Oryzias latipes: one gene and its partners. The protein of the gene in region 4 interacts with the protein of the main gene of each other region in a pairwise test. Links are inferred from orthologs where the notes say so. Each region holds a gene or a part of one and is shown on either strand. Other genes may lie near its edges.

What was found.
Region 1: the proteins of thap1 (region 4) and gpatch2l interact in binary tests that used the Homo sapiens proteins (3 or more experiments, as listed by UniProt). The two-hybrid records come from large-scale screens. The link is inferred for Oryzias latipes from reciprocal best matches to the Homo sapiens genes THAP1 and GPATCH2L.
Region 2: the proteins of thap1 (region 4) and akap17a interact in binary tests that used the Homo sapiens proteins (3 or more experiments, as listed by UniProt). The two-hybrid records come from large-scale screens. The link is inferred for Oryzias latipes from reciprocal best matches to the Homo sapiens genes THAP1 and AKAP17A.
Region 3: the proteins of thap1 (region 4) and AP-1 complex subunit beta-1 interact in binary tests that used the Homo sapiens proteins (3 or more experiments, as listed by UniProt). The two-hybrid records come from large-scale screens. The link is inferred for Oryzias latipes from reciprocal best matches to the Homo sapiens genes THAP1 and AP2B1.
Region 5: the proteins of thap1 (region 4) and c19h7orf50 interact in binary tests that used the Homo sapiens proteins (3 or more experiments, as listed by UniProt). The two-hybrid records come from large-scale screens. The link is inferred for Oryzias latipes from reciprocal best matches to the Homo sapiens genes THAP1 and CHLSN.
Region 6: the proteins of thap1 (region 4) and bag5 interact in binary tests that used the Homo sapiens proteins (3 or more experiments, as listed by UniProt). The two-hybrid records come from large-scale screens. The link is inferred for Oryzias latipes from reciprocal best matches to the Homo sapiens genes THAP1 and BAG5.
Region 7: the proteins of thap1 (region 4) and mettl13 interact in binary tests that used the Homo sapiens proteins (3 or more experiments, as listed by UniProt). The two-hybrid records come from large-scale screens. The link is inferred for Oryzias latipes from reciprocal best matches to the Homo sapiens genes THAP1 and METTL13.

Annotation. Positions count from the first base shown.
Region 1 is NC_019880.2:13,366,630-13,371,164, forward strand, and holds the start of gpatch2l (G patch domain-containing protein 2-like), read left to right. Parts: upstream 1-1,603; 5' UTR 1,604-1,710; intron 1,711-3,420; 5' UTR 3,421-3,434; coding exon 3,435-4,096; intron 4,097-4,535.
Region 2 is NC_019879.2:18,192,638-18,195,140, forward strand, and holds the end of akap17a (A-kinase anchor protein 17A), read left to right. Parts: intron 1-56; coding exon 57-848; 3' UTR 849-1,791; downstream 1,792-2,503. Other genes in the region: asmt (acetylserotonin O-methyltransferase), read left to right, coding at 2,354-2,443. UniProt on the Homo sapiens protein: Splice factor regulating alternative splice site selection for certain mRNA precursors. Mediates regulation of pre-mRNA splicing in a PKA-dependent manner.
Region 3 is NC_019872.2:25,038,799-25,042,565, reverse strand, and holds part of AP-1 complex subunit beta-1, read right to left. Parts: intron 1,856-3,767; coding exon 1,771-1,855; intron 1,540-1,770; coding exon 1,453-1,539; intron 920-1,452; coding exon 765-919; intron 1-764. UniProt on the Homo sapiens protein: Component of the adaptor protein complex 2 (AP-2). Adaptor protein complexes function in protein transport via transport vesicles in different membrane traffic pathways.
Region 4 is NC_019870.2:29,950,423-29,954,450, reverse strand, and holds the start of thap1 (THAP domain-containing protein 1), read right to left. Parts: upstream 2,801-4,028; 5' UTR 2,580-2,800; coding exon 2,509-2,579; exon of another isoform or gene 2,440-2,508; intron 874-2,439; coding exon 681-873; intron 1-680. UniProt on the Homo sapiens protein: DNA-binding transcription regulator that regulates endothelial cell proliferation and G1/S cell-cycle progression.
Region 5 is NC_019877.2:9,264,862-9,269,327, reverse strand, and holds the start of c19h7orf50 (uncharacterized protein C7orf50 homolog), read right to left. Parts: upstream 2,912-4,466; 5' UTR 2,814-2,911; intron 2,517-2,813; 5' UTR 2,509-2,516; coding exon 2,386-2,508; intron 2,264-2,385; coding exon 2,144-2,263; exon of another isoform or gene 1,915-2,143; coding exon of another isoform or gene 733-1,914; exon of another isoform or gene 1-732. Other genes in the region: G-protein coupled estrogen receptor 1-like, read left to right, coding at 733-1,914. UniProt on the Homo sapiens protein: Hormone secreted from the intestine in response to cholesterol, where it acts to inhibit cholesterol synthesis in the liver and VLDL secretion,leading to a reduction in circulating cholesterol levels. Acts through binding to its receptor, GPR146.
Region 6 is NC_019880.2:21,267,545-21,272,044, reverse strand, and holds the start of bag5 (BAG family molecular chaperone regulator 5), read right to left. Parts: upstream 2,879-4,500; 5' UTR 2,240-2,878; coding exon 2,184-2,239; intron 1,701-2,183; coding exon of another isoform or gene 1,572-1,700; exon of another isoform or gene 1,453-1,571; intron 1,318-1,452; exon of another isoform or gene 834-1,317; coding exon of another isoform or gene 811-833; intron 553-810; exon of another isoform or gene 386-552; coding exon of another isoform or gene 354-385; intron 1-353. Other genes in the region: apopt1 (apoptogenic protein 1, mitochondrial), read left to right, coding at 1,572-1,700, 3,563-3,760. UniProt on the Homo sapiens protein: Co-chaperone for HSP/HSP70 proteins. It functions as a nucleotide-exchange factor promoting the release of ADP from HSP70, thereby activating HSP70-mediated protein refolding.
Region 7 is NC_019862.2:3,849,441-3,853,207, forward strand, and holds part of mettl13 (methyltransferase-like protein 13), read right to left. Parts: intron 815-3,767; coding exon 602-814; intron 239-601; coding exon 107-238; intron 28-106; coding exon 1-27. UniProt on the Homo sapiens protein: Dual methyltransferase that catalyzes methylation of elongation factor 1-alpha (EEF1A1 and EEF1A2) at two different positions, and is therefore involved in the regulation of mRNA translation.

The DNA of each region.
Region 1 (4,535 bases), on a different chromosome or scaffold from region 4:
TTAGCCTTGACTTTCACTAGGTTATGCTCATTTTGTTTATTTTAATGCCAATTGTAATCATAATATTGGTTCAATATTTAACATAATGTTTTGCTGCAATACTGTTTTGTATTTTCTTGCAGAACGCATGGTTTCCATAACAAGCCATTCAGATCATGTATTTATTAACACACTTTCTGCAAAAGTTCAGCGTTTGTCTTTCTGATCTGTTTGATAAAGTTTTCAGCAGATAATAAGCTTTTATTTTGTTTAGAGTTAAGCATCTAAATTTATTTTTGGAAACATTGCAAAACTTGAATCATAAAACTTAACTAAGTCTTGAGATGCCTGCAGGTCTAAAATTGTTTTTTTCTTTTGTTTTCTCCTTGGATCAGTGATTCCAAACAGTTTATAAATATATACATTTTAGGGGGTTGTAGGCACATTGCAGATGGTATAAATAATCCTGTCCATATTAGGATTTTTGTCATATTTCTGTTGTCTTTTTTTTATTATTACTTTATAAGTTTTCAATGTTAGGCTTAACACTGAAAATGAACAAACAATGTAAGCAGCCTAATCATTCGAGACTGGATATTCAGCAAATAAACGGGCTTAAAGATGGAGGGCAAATTGGAAAAAACTGGATGTTCAGAGGAGACAAAATTAAAAGAATCAGTATACTACCAGATCACCTTTGGCTCCCATATTCTCCAAGAAATGTATTTTTGAAGCTTTAGCCAGAAGAAAAAGACCAACACAGAACACTGAACAGGTACTTTACATTTATTTTGCAATTCAAATAGTTCGTTTAACCCTTGTGCTATCTTAGATGACCCCACCCTTACTTTGACGTGTAATTCCTACCATGACAAAGGTGGATAAAGGTGGAAAGATTTCATGTAATCCATGGACAACAGTGAAGATCACAAATCATTGAAGAAAAAAGGTTCAGCGCACTGTCTAGTGGGTCTACATGACCCAACTCCCAATGGCAAAGTGCCTAGGATAGCACAAGGGATATTTGTATATTTTTCAGATAACTTGGTTTGATCCAAAAGAATTGTCAACACATGAGTGAATTGTGACAAATATCGCTCATGAGGTGCATAAGACAAAAAGATTGGAAATCTGCCTCATTCTGAGGTAGTAAAGCTTTTAGCATTATTTTTATTGTCATTTTGTCCATCATTGTTTAAGTTTCATTGTCCCTTGAAACCTACAATCTCAAGCTGCATTTAGTGTTTCTGAATATCTGTAGCAGCCTATATAATGTTACAATCGTTTTAATGATCTTACTCTCCTTAAATAAAAGAAGCTAAAAGTAAGATATGAAAATAGTAAGAGGGCAAAACATGGTGAAAAAAAACAACAAAAAGGATTTCCCATATAAAAACCTGGAAGCTTTAATTCACACCAATAAACGTATAAAATAAAAGAAAAACATATTGTGTTCTGACAAAAAAAACAAGAAGAAAGAAAACTACTTGGTAAATTTATTTTAAAAAAACGTGAAGACATTAGTTTCAGAAAGATTTAACAATTTTTTTGTAAAATAACAGCAACAAATCATTTTCTTGTCAGCTTGAGGCTTCCTGTCTGCACGCGCTGTCTGCTGTCGCAGCTGTACGTCACGGTGACGTAGAATCTGCTGATTGGCTGTAGTGCAGGGCGGAAGTGCGTGTACGCCCCACCAGAGGGCTGACAACAAAACAACACGAGCAGAGACAGGTGAGTATCACAATACCGTGAACTCCTTTTATTGCTCGCGGTTCGTTGTCGGAGCGGCTGCGTGAGCTGTATGCGTGAGACCGGTCGGCGGGCGAACAAACGGCTAGCTTTGCTGACATTGAGGGCGTAGAGCAGTGAGGTGTCCTTGTTGCTGATGTCATGTGTGTGAGCTGTTATGTAACAGACAGCAGCAGTGAGGGACCATCACCATGCAGATAGATACTACAACCTGCTGCTGTGCTGTTGTTTTTGCTGCAGTCATGCCGCACAGATTCCCAGCAGTTTTTCTTAGCTAATTAGAAAGACAACGCGATGGTTTCGCTTTTCCTGATGATAAACAAACGTTCTCAAGGACAACAGCAGTGATCATTGCTCATCCGTGCTAGTAGTAAACCTGTCATTACAAATATGTCTTATGTCTTTTCACGTTTACATTCTTCTTTTAAATTTTAACACAAGTAAACATACTAGAGAAAATAAGATAATCTATAATTTATAGCCATGTTGGTTTGCTTAGCTTAGCATTTTAGATTAGGACAAATACTTGTCGTTTATATTCATTTTCTGCTAAGAAAGCTGCTTTAAATGACAGCAGATGAGATCATCATACCATCAAAAGAATGGAGAAACATAATACAGACAGGAGCTGCTATGTTGGCTTAGCTCTCGGGCTGCATACGAGAAAAACTCACTATGTGCGATATTTGTGATCATTATGAATGATGACGATATCAGAATCATTTATTGACATTATAATAGCAAATTGCAATGGAATTTTGATCAGCTCTGGGAAATATAGGGATACAGAAGGCATCAATGTGCAAAGATACACGTGATGCATGAGCAGTTAGCAAAACAAAAAACATTTTTTTTTAATTTAACCTTTATTTAACCAGGTAAGCCATTAAGAACATGTTCTAATTTACAATAAAGACAACTAATACATTGTTTCCATTTCACTGTAATGGTTTTATTTAAATGAAAGTCAACATATCTTAAATTGAACTTCAAATGACCTCTCGTCTTCACATGAGGCAGGAATCTAACATTAAAGGGCTGCTTTTCATTGGTGAAATATTTAAAAAGCTCTGTTTGATTCACCTGCTATGAGATTGTATTCACATGTATATAAACACTAAAGGTAACCATTTATCCCATAAACTGGGATAACTGATGATGTAAATATATGTAGTCCAAGAAATGTCTTTTTTATCTCCTGTTGTAAATAATATTTGATTAAAACTTCTAGCTTTTCCCACAATAACATAATTTACATGTTTTTCTTAAATTCATTTGTCTCTCATGTTACCAAGAATATAATTATTAACGATATATACAATTAGCTAACCCTATATTATCGGTTCTTTGTGCTGACTGTTTTAATTGAAAAGTGTCAACACAAATGTGTTTAGAAATCCCATTTGCTGTCAAAATGAACGGATGTGTAAAAAGCATGGGAATAATAAATGTCATTTTTGTATAAGTACAAGCTACTTTACTTTTGAGGACCTTGTCTTTTATAGAGTGTTAGTTTGTCTTTTCATACAAAATGATTTTGCTCTAGGCTCTTCAGCATTTGCTTCCTTTTTGAAAATATTATGTTTTTTCATAAAAGACAACATAGACACCATATCTAATCCAGACAACAATGTTACAGTTTATGCTAATTTGGCGGTCACTGCAGATTTTAACCGTCTTTTGCTGTGTCAGTCATTTCCAGCACTATGATGGATGAGCTGGTGCAGGACCTGGTGTCAGCTCTGGAACAGGCCTCAGAGCCGAATAAGCTGGGGGAGCTGTGGGAGGAAATGGTCCTGAGTCCACTGCAGCATCGGCGACAGATCCGACGCCGCAGGGGACGCAAGAAATTTCACGAATCCTCCCTTTATCCATTGTTTGCCAGAAGATGCTGGATTGACGCCTCGGAATCCAGTTTAGATGAAGCTAAAGACTTCAGGGAGAACTCGTCCTTCACTTTTCCTGCATCGGTGGCCAACTGCAGTGACTCTGACGACATGTCTGCTACCAACCACTGGTCATCACTTGTGGGGGGCTCAGTTAGGACGAGGCAGCCCTCTTGGCCAGAGTCTGACTCCTTCACCGAGAATAATCCAGGACGGCCACTCAGGAGGCGGAGGAAGGTGAAGCGTATGACTTCCGGGGTGACCTACAGGCTGCAGCAGAAGCTAACAGTGTCAGAGGTGGATCGCAAACAGAGGCACAGACCGCCTAAGGTACACCGTCTCTCGGGATCCAAGCGAAGATCTGGTGGCTGGATGAAGAACGAGAGACAGAGTGAAGGAGGCAGACTGCTGGGGAAGAAGTGCTGGAAAAGGAAGATGACGAAGGAGCACAGAGACGCTGCTGATGAGAACATGTCTGAAGGGTAATCTAAAATCCTTCTGGTCCTTTATGAAACATTTCCATATTTATCACTTCAAATGAATTCACATTTGTGAAACACTTTTAGCAGAAATGAGCATGTTTAAATTCAATATAATCCTTTGAACAGTTTCTTTCTAAAATTAAAATGATATCTTTTTCTATTTTAGACAGTAGCAAAGAAACAATAGAACCCTTGGTATTATTTGTATTGAAAATCCTTATTATTAGTATTCAGAAGGCCTTCAAACTAGTTCAAAAGGGGAATATCCCGATGAAGTCCCTTCTGTAGTCTTGAGCTCATATTCAAAAGTTAATAATCATCTTTGTGTCCTCTATCCTTGCGTCTGAAAGGATCACCAGGGAGCCACCTTTGATAGTTTGGCCTCCGGGCATCTCATCGCTCATTATTTCCTTTTGAAAAATATGGTCACAAATAAATA
Region 2 (2,503 bases), on a different chromosome or scaffold from region 4:
CAGCCCTTGTTTTGACAGCACAGATGGTTTTCTTTATGTCTCGTCCTTCCCTTCAGACACTCAAACAGCATCAGGAGGAAAAAGAAAAGGCGGAACGAGAGAAGCAAGAGCGACAGGAGCAGGCCAGACAAAAGGAGGAATTGGCTCGCCTTCAGCAGCTGGAAGCCTGTCGGCGCAGACAGGAGGAGGAGCTGCGGAGGGTGGAGGTGGAGAAGCAGCGAGCGCTGGAACTCCAACGTAGAGAAAAGGAGCTGAGAGACAAACTTCTGTCCAACCTCATTAAGAAAAGCAGCGAGGAAACCGCCGGAGTCGTACGGGAACCGGCTGGCTTACAAGGCAGCGAAGAGGCCTCGGATCCTCACTGTGGGATGCTGGAGGTCCTGGGTCGAGTGAACGGGTTGGAGCCAGGAAACGGCAAAGAGAAGCAAGTATCTGAGGCTAGTGTTAGATCAAAAACTTTGTCCAAGAAGAGCTCAAATGACAAACACGAAGAAATGGTTAAAAACAGACATGGAAAGGAACAAACTAGAGGCCACTCACGCAGAGAAAGAAGCTCGCACAGTCGAGGGAGACAGAGGCGCTCTCAGAGTCACAGCCGACGGAGAAGGAGCTCGAGGAGCTCCAGCCGCCACAGGAGGAGCAGCAGCAGGAGACGCTGCAGCACCAGCTCCAGCAGAGAGCGGAGCTGGAGCAGCAGGGGAAGGAGCTGCAGCAGGGGAAGGAGCCACGGGCGGAGTCGCCACACATACAGCAGACAGCGATCCAGAAGCAGCAGTCAGCACAGAGATCACAGGAGACACCAGAGACGCAGCGGCAGCACCAAGAGGAGCCACTCCAGGAGACGCTGAGCCGCTTTTCAAACAGAAAAGTTTAGTGTCTTAGGTCAGAATGCAAAGAAATTCAACCAAACTTCACAAAAGGATCTCAAGCCTACATTTATGAATGTCAGGGGTGTAGATAAAAATAATAAAAAAATATGTCCGTTTTACAAAGTTACTCAGTTGTTCTGTTGCTCAGCTGAAGCTTCTAACGTAAGGAATCTTCTGGCATCTATGTTATGTAAAAATGTGAATGAACACATTTCAGGACGGCAGCAAAGCAAACAGAAAAAAAGAAAAGCTTTGGTGAATATTTTTTAACAAAAACTCCACTCTAGACTTGTTAGGAAACAGTTTTGTCTGTATTAAACCAAAAAGGAGGTGAGAATTTCTTGACCTTTTTTATCAACTGTTTTAGTTGAGCTGCTACAGCTGTAGTGGCGTTTTTAAGACCCAGCATGTCATTTTACTGCTTTAGGCTTCAAAGTATAGGTGATGAAGGTGTCAAAGGGAACTACTCCGACATCTTTTTGGTTTTTGTTTTGTGACTTTTGCAGATGTTTGAAGAAACTGCTTTCATTCTATAAGCCTCAGTCTTTTTTCTTTCTTTCTAGAACCTGCTATTTCCTTTTGTTGTACACAATAAAAGATGAAGCTGTAACTTATAGACTGAAGAATCGGCTTCAGAACAAGCCTTTTATTTTGAAGAGACTTGAAGACACGTGTGCCCTTTTTTTCTGTCCATATGTGAAAAGAGGAACAAAAGTGATTAAAATGAAAATCTACTGTTGAACACAGAGTCGAGTCTGAATGTTGTTCTGTTTTCAGGTTTTTAGAGTGATGCGGCTCAACAGACTGTAAAAGTTTTCTCACTACAAAGACCCATCTGTTCTGCAGGATTACAATTCTCCCGTGAAGCATGACTTACAAACACTGCAAGCTGGTTATGAAAAATAAACGTTTTCAAAGTTGACAAGTCTTTATGGGTGTCTTGCTTTTTTTAGTGTTTTTTTTTTTATAACCTCAAAACGGGTCATTTGTAGTTTGTTACCACTAAACTTCATTTTGTGCATATGTGTCATGACATTCATGTGAGATCAAATGTATTTATGTAAAACATGGGGACATTTTTTTTCTGCATAAGTAATCACAGACCCAAGTAAATCGTACATGGTGAACTTTTTCTTTTGTTGGGGAAAACAAACGGCGAACAAGAGGAGGCACTAATTGGGAAAGCTTGGTGAAAAGCAGTGGGTTCAGGGATAATAAACAAGGCCGCAGTGTTTTTATAGAGTTGTTTCTTTGTCAGACTGAGTCCATGCTCTAATCTGGGTTATCTGGTTGTAATCAGCTTAGCCCACTGCAACTCTCACTGTTATTGCTGCTGGGTGGGCTTTGATTTAGGCTCAGTCTGGTTTTCTCAGCACTGCCAGTCACACTGAGGGCTGCTGCACTGACTTCTCTTCAGCAACAATTTGGAGAAACAAAACCTACTGTTTTTTTGTTTTTAATTTTAGTGGATTTTTGGCCCATCTATGGCATCACATTCCACTCAAGGGGCTCCTGCTGCAGACCTGTACCCCAAAAAAATCCTGGAGTACATGGAAGGCTTTTTGATCTCAAAGGTAAAGTTTCTGTGGCATTTGCTCACTCCAGTGTTCTCTGTTTAGTTCATGATATGGCAC
Region 3 (3,767 bases), on a different chromosome or scaffold from region 4:
TTTTATAAGCTAAAACTTTGAAAATGTGTTCCTAAAACAGTTAAAGATTGGTGTAAAAAAAACAAAAGATTATTTTTATATTGTATATTTATCCAGTATTTCTTTGCATTTCGTATACTGTGCATTCCTGTGTTTTGTATTCTTAAAATTTGTTTCATCTCTTCAACAGCATCAGTCTTCCAGAGGACTGCAGAAAGAAATTAGCCTGTGTCTAAACTCTGGTCTTTCACTATATTGTGGTTCATGTTTTGTGGTCTCGCAATGTCTTTCAGGCAACTTTGCATGCTTTCTTTTTTTTTTACAGTGCACTGTGTTCTGCGTTCTGATTGGCGGTTGTCAATCAATCTCCTCAGTGCCATGTCTCCTGTACAGAATGTGTGCAAGTTGCCAAATGTACATAAAAGTTTGAGAAGATCTTCGTTCTTATTCAGTAATACTGGTCTCATTTTTCTAAAAGGGTTTGAACTTTGAGAGTTTAAACAAGGGAGAAGAGTATGACAATGTTCATGTCTGTTGGAAAAAAGTGTTTAGTGAGGAGTTTTAAAACATCTGTAATCCCACTTGGGGGGATTACACCCATTGTGGGTTAATTATGGAATGTATAACCCGCAATAAACAAGGAAACACTGCATTTACGTTTGTTTTTGATGTTCATTAATATACAATGTCTCCGTCAGAATAAATACATGTTCAAATAAATATTCAAATACAAAAGGAAGCATGACATTTGAGCAAGACTCCCCATAAACTACCCAACACTGTACCGTGTAATTGGGGTTTCCCGGCTGAATCCGGAGCTCGGCTAAGATCCAGATGCCGTTGGTTAGCTTGAGGGACTGGTAAAGCATGTCCTGACCTTCAACGTTTCTTTTGGCAATAGTGTAGATGTTGTTATTCTGCAGCTTTCCTGATACGGCGTCTGAAACAAAAAAAATGTTCACTTTACATCACGAAACCATCCCATTACAAAAAGTATGAATCACTTTAGGTACTAACACAAGCATATGCACTACGCAATGCACGTTTTCTACAAAGAGTGAGTTTATTCTAAAAGAGTTTAGGTGAAATATGACTGGTCACCTTAAGAGTTTTAGGTTATCTGACTACTCAAGTAACAAACCACTATGGATGACTGCCATCCAGGATAACAGAGACACATTAATGGGGGGCTTCTAAGAAGAAAAAGGCTGGATAGATAAAAAGAACCGAAATCCAAAGACAGGCATGCAGGTGAAAAAGAAAACAAAGAAAAGTGTGAGATGGAGATGCATCGCATGTGAAATATTTGACAATGAGGAAGAATATGTGAAAATATTTTGGATCAAGGAAAGAAACTGTTGCCCGCTTGATCTCTGCGGTAAATATTTACAATAAAATAAAGCAGATCTGCAAAGTTATCTAATGTTAGAAGAAAAACAAAAATCTAAAAATGTGTTTTATAGTGTCACCTACCTGCATTTAAGTGACAGTCCTTTATCTGATACTGCAGCTCATTTTCATTGGGGATGTCTTTCCATGTTGCCAAGAACACCTGTCGCTCTGAAGACGGTTAAAGAGAGTCACATAAAACCTACTGGATGCTTTGTTAAATGAAACAAATATATGTGTGAATATAATAGAATAAAAACCTATTCATTCCATTGAAAAAATACTTTAAAAATCCTTAACAATAAACCTAAAGAGAATAGATTTGTGAAAATATTCCTGGAAATGGTCTTTAGCACAGATTTTCTGATGTAAAATATTTTTAGAAATGCACAACATTCGTACCCATTTTTCCATCCTCAACAAAGAATATGTTGAGAGGGATGAGAACGCTGAAGTAAAACACATCAATGCTATTCTTCACAGCCACCTGCGCAAAAACCAACACAAGACAAATGAGAAAGTAGCTCAGACAAAAACAGAGTTTAAGGCGACAACGTTCCTTCAACTAAAACTAAAATATGAATTTCGCTTTTCCAAAACATCTGAACATTAGAAAAGTTTGAGGTGCCTCCTGAGGAGCAAATGGGTTCCCTCTGTTTACGGTCCATTATGTAGTTTTAACAGGTTTTTTTTTTTTTTTTTTTTTGCAAAAACAGTGGAAGCAATTAATAAGCTTACTTTGTGTAAGTTGATGAACCTGGTTAACAAAGGGCAGGAAAAGGTGACTGCAAAGCCAAGGTTACCAACAAACATAGCAAAAAATAGCAGTCAACAAAAATAAACAGCCCAAGCTTCAACTCAATCCCGAGTGCAGGTGAGCCGGTGCTTATTAAACTTTTCACTAATAAATAGTTAAAAAAGGTGAAATATACAAATCTGTAAAGTAAACAAAAAAAAGTGCAAAGAAACTACGTACATGTTGGCTCCTACAGTTATTAAAACCTTAGTCTGGATTATTTTGGCTCATTACATAAAAATCTATAAAGAGACTAAAAAAAATTTAACATGAGCAGTTTTAGAAAAGAAACAGCATCAAACTGAATATTACTAGATCAGAATTTTTCAAAGTCCTGATATTGTCATTGTGTTTGATAAAAGTAAGCAAAATTAAATGCGTTGTTTTCTTTTTTGTGACCTTATATCAGTGTTTTTCAACCTTTTTTGACCCACGGCACACTTTAACCTTGACAAAAATCCCGCGGCACACCAGCATCCAAAAAAAATAATAAATAAGCAGAAATTCATGGTCTCTATTGATCGACAGTCCCCCCCCCGCAATCTCACGTGCATTTTGTGATAATTGTGGCCAAAAAAGCAGGAAGTTGCGGCTGTTTTTTCTAAGAGATGAAATAAAAGTTAAATTAGAAAATTTAGAAACTGTTTGTTTGTCCGTTGAGGTTTCTAGACATTTCACGCGCACTCATTATGCGCTGGGACACTGGCCCTTTAAGCCAATGCATCATGGGAGATGTAGTGTGAAAACTGCCGAAAAAGGGCAGAAAGACTCGCGTCTGTGAGCTTCATTGTTTTGTTCACGGTCTGACACCGGACTCTGTGGAAAGCTACACCGCTAAAGACGAGCTTTAGCTGGTATTTTTGTTGGAACTGAGAGAATTTATGAGCAGAATTAAGAACAAGGAAGTGAAGACTTTAACCACTTCTGATTGGTCAGACTGCTGACATGTGATTAAGCCTTCAACAATGATTGGCGGAGACAGGTAAAGGGGCGGGACTTTCCCGCAAACCGCTATAGCTGCAGGTAAATACCGTCATTCTTATCAAAATGTCTTTAATAGAATCAAATAAACACAAATAAAAAGTAATTTTAAGATCTTTTATATTCCTCACTACTCAAGTGTTTTATCAGGGCCTGTTTGGATGAACAAAGAGCTGATTTCCTGGAGATGGAAAATGTTTTTAGATCAGTGAATGATTAATGAGGGTAATTTCCCACGGCACACTTGACCATCTCCCGCGGCACACTGGTTGAAAAACACTAGTTTTTCAACCAGTGTGCCGCGGCACACTGGTTGAAAAACACTGCCTTATATGGTTTGATTGATTTAATTCTGTTTGTATTATATTACTATATACATTTCTTTTAGAACCTTACAATCACATTTAGTACATGAAAGGCTGCAAATTCTGAAACCTCGAGAACCAATTTGTTAAAAATGTCTAAAAACGCATTTTGATCAAAGAGATGTAATTATACCGATATTCAAAATGTTACATGATGCATTTTTCTTTAAAATGACAAAATAATATTAAGCTGTTCCAATCAAAATGTACTCTCAAGCAACAAAGAAATAGCAGAATGCTTTCCAATGTACCTTATT
Region 4 (4,028 bases):
TTAGCAGTTCAAAACCCGTCGGCTGAAACCCTCCACGGATGACGAAAGAGACACGTATGAACGACTGAATCATACGAGGAAAATGTGCAATAATGTAGGTCGCGGCTGTGAGACGACCTTCAGGTTAGAAACCTGTAGAAGTCAGAAAACGTGAGAAAAAACTAAATCAGAGCAGATCAGTCTGTTTCAGATTAAAACCTTTTACAGTAAGGCTGAGCCGTCGCTGGTCTGCTGACCCACAATGCACCACAACACTGTTTTGCTGACCCACAATGCTGACCCACAATGCACCACAACACTGTTTTGCTGACCCACAATGCTGACCCACAATGCACCACAACACTGTTTTGCTGACCCACAATGCACCACAACACTGTTTTGCTGACCCACAATGCACCACAACACTGTTTTGCTGACCCACAATGCACCACAACACTGTTCACCTGCTTCCCAAACGGGTTTCAGGCCGTGAAACCTACAACCACCGGCCTAGACGCCATGGACACGTTTGTGGGCGGAGCATCACTAGCCGAGTCAGAAACTGGACCAATCAGATTTCTGTATGAAATCCATGCATACAAATCCATAAACATACTTTATGCTACAGACCCCACAGACAGAAAAGACGCATGGCTGCCCGTGGTCATGGCGCTCCTCATCGGCCCTCTGAGCCGCGTTACCTTGAAGCTGAGGTTGGCGCTGAAGAGCGACGGCACGGCGTTCTCCTTCAGCACGCGGTTGTTGCACTCCCTCTTGAAGCAGTCGCTGGTGAAGTGTTGGGAGCAGATGTTGCTGTACTTTGTTGGTTTGAAGTTGTTCCTCCTCATGGCCGCCACCCACTTCCCGCAAACGTCCGGACGCGCCAACGGGAACCTTGCAGTCCGGGACGACAAACACCACGTTCAGCCCATCGCCGGACACGTTTCTGTGCTTCCGTCTGGTAAACAAATGTTTTAATCTCCAGTAAAGTTCTAAACGTATCTAAAGGTGCAGAGGCTCCCGTCACCGTAAACTCTGCCACAGAGAGCCAACAAGGTCCTGGTAGTGACTTATTCTCCCCCCTCCACGACCATTAACATTAAATTAAATCACACCATCTGTGTGACCTTTTTTGCGCCACATTTGACCCCTCCCCCTGGCGGAGCGGTGAGCTGCAGACCATTTGGTGGTTTAACCCCCCAATCCAACCCCCTAATACTGAGTGTCAAGCAGGGAGGCATTGGGCCCCATTTTTATAGTCTTTGGTATGACTCTGCCTGGGTTTGAACCCACGACCTTCCAGTCTCAGGGTGGACACTGACCACAGGGCCGCTGAGCTGGTTGCATATTCATTTCTCATTCCTGTCAGTCATTTCAGTCTTAAACTGCCATCACCCAATGAGCTGTCAAAGTGTTCCCAGAGGTCTTAACGATGGTTTTTTTTACCATTTTCCTTTTCTAGAACAGTGTCTGCAGAGCGGCAGGAGCTGATCACAAATTCACCTCCGAGTTGTGGGCGGGGCTATTGATGTGGACTAAGCCCGCCCTGATTCCCATCATCCCTTTGCCCCCCACCTAACATTAGCAGAGCAACAAAAATGGCAGCATAACGGAGATATCCAGCCGTCAGCTTTGACTGCAACAGGAAAGTACGGTGGCCCTGAAGTACAAATCACATCAATAAGTCATGTGACGCAAAACCTTTTTAAGATCACAACATACAAACAAATATTAAAAAAAATATACAGAAAACGAAATGAAATGATGTAAAATGAAACAATGAGAACCCGGAAAAGGTCCATAGGACTGAGCTGATTGGACGAAGACGCTTGACCTTCATGTCAGTCAGAAGCTGACATGAAGGTCGTGGATACATCCGTCCCATGATCCTCCAACAAATCCACCTTTCTGGTTTCTCCTTGGGCTTCATTTTCCCAACATTTCTAGGAATAGTTTTAGTTTCTGATTATTTGTTTCGCTTTTTATTGGTCGTTGTGAGTTTTTAAATGCTTCACGTTAAGCTATTTGCACTTCAGGGTCACCGTAGAAAAGATGAACCCATTGAAAGCCTTTCTTTGCCTCTAGTGGGACTCGAATAAACGTGTTTGACCGGTTGAATCCAGTGTAACGGTTTGACACCGTAGGATCACTGCAGGTATCGAACGAAACCGGAGCGGACTACCGTCCTTAAGTCGTTCAGTCCAAACGTCTGTACCGGACAGACCCGGATGAGTGGTGAAGGTTAACCTTTGACCTCCTAAACCTGTTGAAGCATTGCTCAAAGGGTACTCGGTAGTCGGGATTCCAGCAGTCACTCGGTTGACCGAGAACCACCAGCAGCATGTGGACCCGCCGGTACCGGACGGACGGACTCATGACCCAAACTTTCTTTTTTATTTTCCCATCATGCACCGTGGATCGGAGCGCGAGTGAGGGAACGTCTCCGTTAGGTGCGTTTACCGGGAGGTTTTCTTCCCGGAAAACCGGCGCTCCGGCGGCGGAGCGTCCGCCTCTGTGGGAGGGGCTTACTTGTGGAAGGAAATGTCTTTGTCTTTGTGGTACCGGTTCTTGCAGCCGTACGCCGAGCACGTCTGGACCATGGCGGCGGCCCGGACAGCAGCCGAACGCGGACAGAGCGAGGGCTTCGCTGCCACTAACAACTATGGCGGCGGAAGAATCACGTGATCTGTGTTCTGAAACGTGATTGGCTCAGGCTTTCTCTGGGCATGCGCAGAGCGCTGGAGAGCTGCGCTTCCTCCAACGGGCGGGAGTGGAGGAGACGAGTTTGAACCGTCAACAGGCACAGCTGCCATTGATTGACTGATTGATTATGAGAGCATTTCAGGGATACAGAGATCTGTGTCACGTGTACAATAACATTAACGTGTCTTCGTGTCAGTGCAACATTCATACCTTTAAAAAAAAAAAACTTACTAAAATAACAAATAATGGACGAAACGACATAAAACGGGCTTGGATGTAGATATTGAGTAAAATGTCACACAATCCAGCTTTTTGTTCTTTTCCCTTCTCGTTCTTATTAGGAAAATGTAATGAGTTTTATTGAAGCTGCTGTGTTGTCGTGACTCATTCTTTATAATATAAAGTTGTGGGGAAAAAGTGCTTCAATATGTGTTGAAATGGTTGAAAGTAAAGACAATGATCCTAAATATGAAGCAGACGTCCACAGTCTCCTCAGTGACCAGCAGACGTCCAGGTTTCACGGTTTCTGGCGTCTCCAACTGGTTTATGGCGGTTGGAGGGAAATGGTTTTGGGTCTTTCCGTCTCTCTTCACCAGCGGCGTTTGCCTGAAGGCAGCAGGTCAGACGGCGGCGGTCCGGGGCGTGTAGCGTCTCTGATGAGGCTCTCTGCTCTGCTGAGGCAGCGGGAGCTGTGGGGGGGTTTCCAGGGCGGGGAGGGGGCACCCAGCATGTTTTGGGCGGTGTTGGCGAGCCGCCGGAGAGCCTTCCTTCTAGCCGCTTTACGGCGGCCGAACCAGGAGCATCTGCAGTGTTGGTCCACGTTCCGCGGTGGTGAGGTCAAAGGTCACCAGCTGTCTTTGGGTCATGTTTGTCTGAGGGAACGGTCTCTGTTGGGCTTTTCAGCTGCTCACTGGGGTTCATACTCACATTTTCTCTTTGAGTTAAAAAAAGGGAAAGTATAGATCAAGTTGTTTCAGAGACTCACAGAATATTCCTTTTTTTAACTCCTAAAACCTTTTTTAGACATTAATGACCAAAGATTTCTGTCTTGTTTGGTTGATTTGGTCAAAATGATCTGTAGGTGTCCTGGATGAAAGGGGTGGGGGTTGTTGTTCATCCTGTATTTTACTCTAACCCAGCCGTCGGCAGCCCGGGCCGGGCGCCACCGCGGCACGTGGAGGGTTCTTCTCACAATGAGCTTTCTTTCCCTATGAGGTCATAAGGCAAGGGTCCAATCATGCAGTGCCGTTACTGTGACTCCGCCCACCTCTATAAATACTAAGGTTGCGTCCAAATTCCCGCCCTAACCCCTATGTGCAGCACTATTATGTAGAGCCCTGGATTTT
Region 5 (4,466 bases), on a different chromosome or scaffold from region 4:
CGGCGTATATTTTGACATCATGGGGCCACACGCCGCACACATCAGTGGATGACGAGAGCGCACACCTCAGTCCCATCCAAGCTTTCTTCAACTTTAAAACCAGCGGAGAGGATTACTAAAATGCTTAGCAACAGATCAAAATGGCACAAAAAAAACTCAGAAACGTAACTGAGAATAGATGGAATTATCAGGACTGAATGTTAGGTGTACACCTGCATTGTGTGTTGTGGTGGGTGGCACAGCGACGCTCCTCCGCTTTATCTGAGACATCCTTTAGTGCGTACTCCACAACAGGACACGGCTATCAAGACGGCGAGCAGGGCAAGGACACAAACGTAAGTCTGAACCAGTTTTTGTTTGACCAATTTCACCAACAGTAACGCGTATAATATAAAGAATATTTGACCTTAACTTGTTTTTTTGTGTAGATTTCTTTTTTTTCTTAGGCTTAAGGCTTTTCATTATATTTGCAGTCCTAAAAAATCTCAATCAAAAACTTTTTTTTTAAATGTTGCGTTACACATTCTATGGATTTTATTCAAAATAGAATCTGATACTAACCTCATTAAATTAAGTGTAAAAAAAGTTACTATTTCTGAGTTTCTTTACTTTTAAAATATGTAATTCAAAATAATAATCTTATAAATTGTTGAATTTCTGCTCTGCTTCTTGCAGTTTACAAAGAGCAGATAAATGACATCAAAATCCACCTAGGAAACTACTAGAAGAGCGATGGGGAGGTGGTCTAATGGTTTTCCAGCTGAACAAAGGAGTAATATAGACACAACCATGTATGTGAACTCCTTTCACACTGAGAGCAACCTCACTGTGCTACCTAATGACTCTGATGTGGCCTTCTTTGGATTACAGAGTCAACAACTTTACACCATCAGCCTCATCCTATCCAGCGTCTACACCATAGCCCTGTTCCCCATCGGCCTCATCGGGAACATCCTCATCCTGGCAGTCAATCTGGACCCCAGCGGCCACCTGACAGGCCCGGATCTCTACTTTGTAAACCTCGCTGTGGCCGACCTCACTCTGGTTGCAGACTCTTTGATCGAGGTCTGTAACCTCAGGAAGGAATATTACAACAACGCTGGCCTCTGCACCTTCATGAACCTTTTCCAGCAGGTTAACATGTACAGCAGCGTCTTCTTCCTGACCTGGATGAGCTTTGACCGCTTTGTCGCGTTGACTAAATCCATCGGCCACAGTGTGTCACACACACGCCTCTGCTGCTGCCTCATCTGGGTGTCTTCATCTCTGCTCACCCTGCTGCCGTTTGCTGTAGCTCAAGTGCAGCACGCAGGAGAAATGCACTTCTGCTACGCCAATGTGACACAGATTCAGTGGTTGGAGGTGATGATGGGATTCCTGTTGCCTTTCTGTGTCCTGGGCTTGTGCTACTGGAGAATAGGTCAAGCGCTCATACGCAGCCAGAGATTACAACGTACCCTTCAGCAGAGACCTCGCAGGCAGAAAGCCCTGAGAATGATCTCGGCGGCTGTGCTGGTGTTCTTCATCTGCTGGCTTCCAGAGAACATCTTCATAAGCGTCCACCTCCTGAGAGGAGACGCAGAGGGCGGGACGCTCTGGCAAGACTTCCCACTGACCGCCCATGCTGTCCGGCTGGCGGGGTTCTCCAACAGCTGTCTAAACCCGCTCATCTATGGCTTCCTTGGTGAGACTTTTCAAAAGAAGCTGGAGCTTTTCCTTCATAAAAGATGCGGGTGGGCAAAACTGCAGAAGTCAGCTTTAAGAAAACCCATTTGTGCACCGGCAGCACAGTCATGCCTTCAGGAATGTGACACTCTGAGCCGGTCCTCAAATTCAAACTCTGGAGTCTCTCCACAAACTGGTGTACATCCTACTGACGTTGTGTGTCACACAAAAAGCTTTGTTTTGAAATGAATTTGTCCAACAGAAATCCTAAATGCAAATATTTCTGCTAATGTAAAAATCAAAATGTTTCTTGTTTTAACATTCCAACTGGTGTATATACATGTATATATTTTATATGAATAATCTAAGACTACATTGTGTATCTGCTCCAAATACTGTTTATGTTACATTAGCAAAGACAGGTGATAAAGTGTTGACAAAACATGCGGTCAACTCCATTAAAACAGAATATTCTCACCTCAGTTTGCTTTGGTTGTGACTGCTCTTTGTCTCCTTCCTTTTTTTTGCGCTTTTTGGTCTTTTCCAAGTTTTTTTGATGTTTTACTTTAATTACAGATGGGAACTCTACTTGACAATCCTGAGAAAACAACCAAACAAAAAAAAGTCAAAGTAAAACTGCTGAATCCTAAGTAAATAAACGGTGTAATAGCTAATAGAATATTTTTTAAAAAGGGCTTGCATATTTGCTTCTGCCTTCACCTTTTTCTTTTTTGCTTTTGTCTCAACAATGTCTTCCACAGAAACTGGACTTTCATTTAAACTAGACTTTTTCCTCTTAGGAGATTTGGGTTCCAATTTCACAGACTTGTTGTTTTTCGCCATGGAAACTCCTGCAAGAAGAAGAAAAATAAAACATTAAACTCAAAGATATCCCCCAGAAAGAAAACAATCTAATACGGTGATATTAAAATTAAACCAACGGTTTGTGACATTATTTATATTATTCAATATTCTTGATGTCAAATCAACATTTGAACCAACATTTAGGGAAGTTTTAACCTGATAAAACACCGATTACGTGGTTTTTAAATAAATCGATTAATTTATCAATTGATATACTTGTTATTAACTATTCATTCTGCTGCTACAATGCAAAAATAAACAAACAATGACACTTTTTTCCTTACTGAGGCAGGTCGTTGTAGAAAAGTGGGGAGCATCAACGTGCTAACGATGGGAGCATGCGCTGTAAACCAGGAAGTAAAACAGTTTTGGTAAATCGTGATTGGACAGAAACGATGACTGATTAGTGATGATTGGATGGACAAAATCACAGTATTTTGATATTAATAAAATATTTGGATGGGATTTAGTTCTTCGTGGCATTAATTTAGGCTTCAAATAACAGAGAGTTAGTTTTATTTTGAGAAATGTAATGGTTGAAACGTTGAAATTATATTTACTCAGTACTTACTGTACTGGGAACGTTCTGGTACGGAACCTTCACCGGAAGACATTTGTTGTTGCACAACGGCGTGTTACATGACCTAAGCGGGCAGTGGAAGAGGACCTGTATTTTCTGTGTTCTATAAGATGATCAGTGGTCAACTATGTCTACTTCAAGAATATTCAGTGCTTTGACACGATTAGCTCTCCATCCAGGATTTCCTAATAACGTTTTAACAAGGACGTGGTGAGTGTCACTAACAAATTTGTGCGTGGACTCTGATCCTGACTGTTACTGTAGTTTATTAACAGGGTAATCGTTTAAATCTAGTGCTAACGTAATACGTTACTGTAATTGTAGATACATGTGAGAAAGGGGTCTGAAGTATATAATGTAGGATGGCTTTTAGAGACTCGTCTTTGTGGTACCTTTCAGATATGTATATCTGTGAATTTGTGATTTTACTGGCTTTTTGAATAAGAATTAAATACCCTATTTAAAAAAAGCTTTCTCAGCAGAAAATAGATCTGTCATGATTTGTAAATCTGTGATTTTAAGAGACTTTTTGCTGTGTACATCTGTATTTGTATTCACACCAACCTGACTTAACCAACAAATGCCTGAGCAATATTTAGTGTTGATATTTTGTGCTTTAGATGGTACTGAAGTCACCCAAATAACAATACTCTTGCATATTTAAACAAATGTGTTCATTTTTCTCTACTTTCAGTGCCTTGAGAAATGCACGGTTGCTTGCCGTAAGCGCCAAAGTATCATCCAAGTCACAAGGATCTGAGGATGTGCAGCCGATTGATGAACCCATAAAGTTCTCCACCAGCAAGGCCAGCCACAAGACCTGGAGGGTCAAGCGCTCCATGGGGAGTCATTTTGAGCGGCCATGGTGGAAAGTTGCCCCCATCAGCGTCCTTGTTGCTGCATTTTTGTTGTGGTGTGCCTTCAGAGGAGAGACTGACATTGACAAACAACTGGAGAGGCATTTGTATGAACAGCTTCCTGGTTTGGTTTCAACGGAAGAACCAGACGAACCTCAAAATAAATGAACTCATGTAATATGACAACTTGTATCAAATGTTTTGTTCATACAACAGCTCACGAGAAATACATCCACTAGCTAGCAAAATGATGCTGGCTTTGTAGGATAAAATTTGCTTTAATGTTATGTTGAATTTGTAATTTATTTAATGTGTCTGTATGCATCTGTATGTTAAATAAAACAAATTCAAGTTGAGGTAGCAAAAACTTTATTTACAGCACACAAAAATCCTATGACATGCATGCACACACAGGATTTAAAAAAAGAAAGACCTGAGTGGAATACTTTCAGAAGTTGCAGATTATGGGACTATTCTGAAGTGAAGATAAGTTTAAAGTA
Region 6 (4,500 bases), on a different chromosome or scaffold from region 4:
ACAATAACGCGTATTAACAAAACCAGATTATGCTGGGCCTCCTCTAAAGCGGGTTTATGTAAGAGGGCTGGACATTTCCAGAGGGGAAAGCTGCCAAATCTCAGCATTTATTAGGATAATCGGAGTCCAGTCCCCGCGCGGACGGCCAATCAGCGCGCGCCTCCGTTTGGTTACAGCAGCCAGAGAGGGCCTCTGAGGCGCACGCGGCCGTTCGGAACCCGAACCGGACGCGGTTCAACAGCCGCCCCGCCAACGCTAGTCCCCCGCGGGAAACCCTGCGTGGCCGCTGGCTCTGCGGGCGGACGAGCGTGAAGCCGAACCAGCCCCCCCGCCCCGCCCTGACGCCGCCTCACCTCTTCAGGACTCCGAACACGTTCGCGCACATTCTGAGAGATGTCTGTTTCCATCAGCAGAAAGCAGGCGGCCGGCGAAGCTGGGGAGCAGCCGCGTGCGCAGACAGGAGCCCGCGGAGGTGTCGCGATGCTCCGGCGACCAGCAGACAGACTCTGCCCGCCCGCCTGCAGTCCGGCGGCTGTCGCCCCTCCCACCTCTAAGCCACTACGTCTGCAAACATGGTTTTGTCCCCCCCCCCCCCCCCCTTCTTTTAAAATAAAAAAAACCCCAAACACTTGACCTACACGCGCAGATATTTGACTTCGAAAGATGAAATCCCACCACCGGGTCTTTTTCCAGCCCGTTAACACCGTTGTGAGCTGTCGGTGATCACCTGACTGACTCTGCCCCACCTTGACCGCATAAACTGCGGCTTTACGCCGGCATCTACCCGCCGTTGAACCGCCCCAGTCTTACCTGCATAACCAGCGAACAGCCATGTACCCCGCTGCGAAGGAAAAGCCCCAAACCTTCTGTTGAAGATCAACATTAGCCCGCCTAGCTGCACCTTCACGGACTTACTTTCCCGTCTCAGCCTCGCCACTATAGTTTCACGGAGTTCGATTGTTTCGCTGAATCTACCCTCCCACTTCGTATTTTAATCAATATTTCAATCTCTGAGTGTAACCAACAGCTACAACTATATCTGTACACATTCCTAACACTTTGGTTAATCTTGTTGGTCATTATCTCGTTTAATAATGAAGCTTTTATCAGTTCAGACGCAGGGAAGGTTGTTGTCGGCCAACAGCGAGTGCGCTCCATTTAATCACCAACTCTGTGCGGAGACAAACTCGACCCGTTTTGTTTATGTTTTATTTCGTTATCGCTTCTGATAAAACATAAATATAGCAGTGTTTTTAAATAACGTACTCAAAACGTAGTTTGTAGCTTTGGTACTTGAAGCTTTTGCGATGAAAAGTTTTGACAGTATCTTTCTAGAAATATGTTTTATTTAGAGTTTAGTTTGAAACCTCATCTGCTCCGAACCCGTCGGGCAGAGACTTGACTAACGGCTTGCGAAGGTGCTGTTTCCGAGCGTCTCTAGCCGTTTTTTGCAGCTCACGTGACCACCTGTCCTACATCCTCGCGGAAGGACATACAGTTGGGAGACATGGGTTGTTCGCCACCGTTGCGTGTTTAGCTTTTCTGCGTGACAGTGCCTTGATTTTGCGGGAATGACATTCGGGGCAGCTGGACGCTTGTCGTGGAGGAGCGCGCGGAACTCCCGCGTGCAACTGCTGGATGTAAACATCCGGCGCAACGGCTCTAATAATCCAACGAGCCAACAGGATAAAGCCGCCAAGGTGCGCGCGCCGCCGCAGTCCGTTCCGCGTTGGTGTTTTTATCCCAGGCTCCGTGCTCACATTACCGGAGGAATCAGAAACGCTGAGGTTCTGATCCTGCTGTGAAAACCAAGATAACGACGCATGCGCACTAGGTCTGCACAGCCAAAAAGTCTAATTGACCTGCAGGTTACTGACTGGCTGAACTAAACATGGCTTTAACCAACTCCTTCTATGTTTAGTGCTGCTTAGGCCTAACGGACAGGCTTTTCATCAGCAACCATGAGAGATTTTCACGTCATCTGGTTCTGAAGTTTCATTTAACGGCTCTAGATCCTCACAGAAAGGCTGCGAGAATCAAAAGACACCAGTAGAACCCATCTGTAACAGCTGTCAGTGGGTTTGTTTGGGCTAATGTTTCTGATTCACTGTAGTAAATGTAACCGTAATGATGAAGAAAGTCCAAAGACTTCTGCAGCTGAAGGTAGTGATGTCATAACGCACCTTTTTTCAGGCCTCTGGGTCCTGGATGGAGTCTTCCTCCTCCCTGCTCTCCTCATGCCTGCTCTCCTCCGTGCTCTTCTCCTGCTGCCGTCTGCTCTGCACTGATAAGCAGATGCCTCCAGTTAGACTGCAGGGCCTCCTGCATCCCTCCTGCAGGGCCTCCTGCATCCCTCCTGCTGCCCTCCTGCAGGGCCTCCTGCTGACCCACCTCAGCCCCAAACCGTAGGAACCTGAAGCGCCAGAGTCTGATGGATTCTGTTGGTTATTCTTAGATGCGTTCACATGCTTTGGCCCGGTTAAAATGGGTTTTCTGGAGTCCTCTGGTTCCCTCTGCATCATGCCTGGGGGGCCGTCCCATCAAAAACCCTCAGACTGCGCTGGCTCCAAAGGGCCATCAAAGCTGCAGACCTATTCTGGATTTTAAGTCTGGCCTTCTAATCAGAAATTCATGTACAAATGTATTTAGATAGAATTCTCTTTTATGTGAAGAAATAGGAAGAGTCCAATTGCCATAATAATGTTCATAGTTTATTTGCTTTTAATGCATTGAATAGTTGGCCCTCTTTGAAAAAGAGTTTCCTGAAAAAAGCAAACAGTTGTTGGTTGATCTTCTCCTAAAGTTCTCCACTGTTGTTTTTCCACATCCAAAGAATCCAAAGGGAACATTCTTAGAACATTCTAGACACTGGATGGTCGCATGACTTTATTCAAAGTCTGTCCACACATTGGACTGGAATGATGGACTGATCCGTGTTAATGACATCACATGTGTGTTGCTGTGATTGGGCGGTTTGACCTTATAGTCAAATAAACCTACTGTACCTCAATCTAAATGGTATTTTCCAAGATCAATATAATCGATTTTAACGATTTTTTTAATGGTAGAGGTCAATTGGAATTGATTACCCTCTTGGCTCAGACAGATCGATCTGGTGGGACAAATTAATTCATTGTTAGTTATCTTTTTGACTTGTCTCTGTGTTTTTAACTCTGGGGGAATCCACAGGATCAACTTTAGCTCTATGGTTTTTATTTATTTCTTTTTCTCTCTAGTTTTTCCTTTATTTTTAGGTTTTCATTTGAAGTTTTTTTTGGTTGCTGTTAATTGCTGCTTTCCAAAATGAAGAAACAAAATCAAATTTGCTTAATTACCTTTAAAAGCCCTGAAAAAAAAATGGTTGCTGGGTTCTCCAGGGTTAAACGAACACCTTTTTCTGGTGTTTTATTTTCTTTTTTTTTTTTACATTTTTTTGGTCACTTGTAAAGTCCATCTTTGGACAAATGCTGCAAACATTAGGATGTGGGCATGGGACTGCGGTTTGCAGTCCATCTGTTCTTAGTAAATACGTTTAATTATTGTTCATATTTCCATTTTTCAGCGGACACCTTTGAGACCGGAGCCCAGCTCTACACATGACTGGATCGGCCCCCCGAACCCGCTGTCCAACCTGCGGCCGATCATCTACCGCATCCCTGAGGAGGAGTCGGAGCTGGAAAAGAGGCTGAGAAACCTGAGGCAGGAGACGGAGGACTGGAACCACAAGTTCTGGACCCAGCAGAACCTCAACTTCAGCCAGGTTGAAACCAACATTTTTTACAAGTGTGCCATCCTGTCCAGACGAGGTTTTCAGGTTCCTCGTTTCCCGACATGCATTCAGGAACATCTCGGCATCGGTGGGAGCTGCAGGACACGTGACACGTCCTTCCTCGGTTAAAACGTCCTCCCCCACACAACGGGGTCCAACATGGCTGGACTGACAGCAGTCGCTCCTAAAAACCAGCATCAGGAAAACTGATGCTTGTGTTAAAGCAAACAAAACACCGATTTGACGTTCCTCTGGGCCGCTCACTTTAAAAAGCACTTTAACTCATTTTATCAGTGAATAACAATATTGTGAAAACCTTACATATAATAAATAAAGAAGAGCAGGACTTGAGTGACACTGCTGGTTTTTTAAATCAGTTATTTTGTCCTGTGTGTGTCGGTATTTGAGATTCACCACCAGAGGGCAGCAACGCGCTTCCTGCACAGGATTTCTGCAGAGCATCCAAAAGCATCACTAGTCTTTAAATGCATTTAACAAAACCCAGAAAACAGTCAGCGTTGTGCTCAGTAAAATTTTAAAATGATCAGTTTTAGAGAAATTTACTTGCATGGCTCTATCTTCTGCAAATTATTTGTGTGTAAAAATATCTGAAGAAAGGGGATCATAGCTTTTAGCAGGTCAGAGTTTCTGAAAACCAAGTTTTACTAAAAGTGTTTTGTGTGGAAAAAGTCTGGTACAAACACAGCGAAAGGAAACGTGCTGAGTTTGAA
Region 7 (3,767 bases), on a different chromosome or scaffold from region 4:
GGCACACAAGGTTTAGTATGAAAAGACCTGGCAAGGAGTGGAAACGTGAGGCACATTTCAAAATATGTAACCAAGGCGAAAAGGGAAGAACCGGACCATCCTGTACCTCTGGGGGTCAGCAAGTTGTGAATTTTTTGGAGGAACGGGGTTTCCACGAAGGCAGCAGGGGGGCAGCTCATCCCCAGAGAGCAGTCCTTGTTGTCCACATCCAACATGATGGCGTCGAACAAACGACCACCTGCATAGAAACAAATAGCTCAGCCACATCTTTACAGGGTAAACAACCCCACTGACTGTACAGAAGAACTGGACTGAGCTTGTGTGACGTCACCCATAGAAAATGTTCCCAGTCCAGTTCTCTGATACAGTCATCGGTTCTGTTTTGTTCTCCTGACTGTACCAAAGATCTGGACTGAGCGCGTGTGACATCACCCATACAAAAGGCAATGAGTCCAGTTATTTGATACCGTTGATGGTTCTGTTTTGTTTTCCTGACTGTATCAAATAACTGGACTGAGCGCGTGTGACATCACCCATAGAAAATGTTCCCAGTCCAGTTCTATAATACAGTCGATGGTTCTGTTCTGTCCTCCTGACTGACCTTCTTTCTCCAGAGCACAGATGTGTTCCAGGCCGTCCCCAACAGTCACAGTCAAACGACTGTCTGGTCTGAACCCAAACCATTGCGTTGCCACTTCCAGCATGACAGGGTCCAGTTCTACAACTTCAACTGACACTCCAGGAAGAAAATCCCTCAGAAACTGAGGCAGGCCGCCCCCACCGAGCCCCACCAGGAGAACGGACACCGGGACATCTGCAGTGAAGATGGGAAGGACATGTATACTCATCAGAATGAAACGTTTAAGCAGATTTGGACACGAGACCTTTAGAAAAAGATTCAGATTCATGAAAACCAGAACAGGGCTGCATGGGGGGTGCAGTGGTTAGCACTGTCGCCTCACAGTGAGAGTTTGAATCCCAACTGGGACCTTTCTGTGTGAAGTTTTCCCGTTCTTTTCATTCACGTCCGGAAAAACACACATACGCACGCGCGTGCGCACACACACACCCACACACACACACACCAGTCTAGCTTCTTCCCACAGACCAATAACAGGCTTTGTGGCCTCACTGTTGACTCCAAATTGTCCCCAGGTGTGAAATGTGTGTGCGTGATTGTGTCTCTCTGTGATGGACTACAGAACTGTCCATGGTGAACCAACAGTGGTGAGATGGGCTCCAGCAACTCCCAACAGAATGAAGTGGGTTTAAGAAAATGGGTGGATGGAAACTTTAACTTTTGATGGCAAAAGCTTGACAGAGCTGCTCAACTGAATCTGACTCTTCTTTCTTTTAGTAACTTTGAAAATAAATGTTCATGCGTTCATTCATTAAAGAAATTCTATGATACAAAATACAATAGATTAGATGGTTTTTATCAGTTTCTCTGAATGTTTTATCCACCAGTATCTCTGTAGGTGAAGCCTTATGAGAAGAGGGTAAAAAAAATAAGGTTTTATTCCGTTTTATTTTGAAAAGCCAGTATACGGCTTTAATCTTTATTTATTCTTACAGAGGCCTCTCTTTGAAACAATTTCAAGTTTTTAACAAGTGAAATGAGACAACTAAATTTTTTTATTTTCCCAGATTGTTTAAAGTCCCGTTCCAATTATCTTCTGATCTATTTTAAAGTGGTCCCAGTGGTTTTTCATGACGATGATGTCATTTTAAGCCAAAGTCTAAAAAAACTGTTGTTTTCTAGGACATAGTTTCTGCAGAGCGGCAGTAGTTCATCAGAAATTCACCTCAGAGTTGTGAATCGGACTGTCAGCTCAGAAGTACCGGTAAACCTTTCCTGATTTCCCATCATTCACATGTTCACACTCTCTCCTGCTAGCTTACAGCCCCTCACAACCCCGACCTAACATCATGGCGTAAATATCAGAGCTATCCAGCCGCACAGTTTAGATCCAGATTCCAGCTCAGACGAGGAAAACAAAAATGTTCATGGATCTACTTTTCTGAGAGTGGAGGCATCAGAATAAAGCAGAGCAGGGAGACTCTGGCCCCGCCCATTTCAGTTACTGCATCTCCTGTTTCCCTTCAATTAGAATAAAGGAATACTCTGAAATGCAGTTTTAAGCATAAATGCTGTAGAAAGGACTAGGTGTTACAATCCCTAAGGTTACTACCACTTTAAATTTCAGGAGCTCTTGAGGTTCTTGGACTTCCATTTATTGCCAGCGAGACACATCATCAGTTGTGCACCCCAACATCTTAAGGTGTTTCGGCCATTTATCACAATACACCCTCCGCTGAGGTAGGCCCACCACAGGTTGATCAAGCCTGGGTGTGTGTCTCACTGCTAGTTGGTCATTTTTGTCCATGTGATGTCACTTCTCCTCAGCCACAGCCAATGGCTCGCCCTCTCAGCGGTGATGATCAGTTCTTTTAAAGGCTATCTGTGTGCCCGTCCTCTGACTCCAACTTCCCTTAGGAGATTAGTAGTCATGCTGGCGACAAAGCCCCTGCATCCCACCTCCACTGGGCGCTGATGTTCCAGCCTCTATCCTCTGCCTCAGCTACTAAGTTGGAATAGCGAAGTTTCTTACGCTCATAAGCTTCGTCAAGGGAGTCCTCCCAGGGGACTGTCAGCTCTATGATGTAGGCAAGTCGGCACGAATTAGACCAGAGGACAAGGTCTGGACGCAGAGTGGTTGCTGCAATCTTAACCAGAGGCTAAGATAAGCCTCTGGTTAAGGTCGACTCGCATTTGCCAGTCCCTGGCTGCATTCAGAGGGGTCAGCTCAGGGAGGGAGGGATTACTCTTTGGCTTCTCCCCTTCCCGGACAAATGGTGGTGGGTGTCGGCGCACATCCAGGCTGCTGCTGGGTTGGGCGTTGATAAATACCCTCCTGCACTCAAGTGTATTGGGAAGACATCTCAGGACCTGGTTGTGTCTCCATGTATGTCTGCCTTGGGTGAGGCTGGTCCCACAGCCCACTAGGATGTGCTTTAGCATTGCAGTTGCAGAGCAAAGGGGGCAGGATGGATCTTTCCCAAGCCAAAGCTGCAGGTTTGTGGGGAAGGGCAGCACATCGTAGGTGGCTCGTACAAGGAAGCTTAGCCTATTGGATTCCATGCTCCAAAGTTCGCTCCATGTCAGTTTCCTCCTTTCTACTCCCTCCCACCTTACCCATCGGCCCTGTTTTGCTTGAGCGACAGCTGTGCAGCGTTTACCCGCTTCTTCCAGTTGGTGTACCTCCTCTACCACCATTGTTCGACGTTCTGCTGCAGATGCCTTTTGCCAGAGAGGTTTTACCACCCCCAACCCAAAGCCTCCTCTACCTTGTTGGACGTTGCCCACTATGTCGCGATGGCGCAGAGCAGACTTTGCCTGTAGCACTGCTACAGCAGGGGTCCACTTCTTCCCTGTTGCTAGGACTGGAGCTGCACTTCTCACCATCGGGTCTCGGGAATCGGTGAGTGACATGTCAAGCCTCACCTTGGCGCATTTAAATTATTCCACTAGGCTAGAGACTGGTAGTGACAGGACTCCATCATTGTAGAGTCCAACACTGCTGAGGCAGTTGGGAACTCCAAGTCACTTCCTCAGGTAAGAGTTCACAAGCCTTTCCAGACGGTGGACATGGCTAATTGAGACCTCATACATAGTTAAGGGCCACATAAGTCTGGGTAGTAGCCCAAACTCGTAGCACCAAAGCTTCAGTTTTCCTGGGAGTCAAGGAGTGTTTAGTCAATCAGGA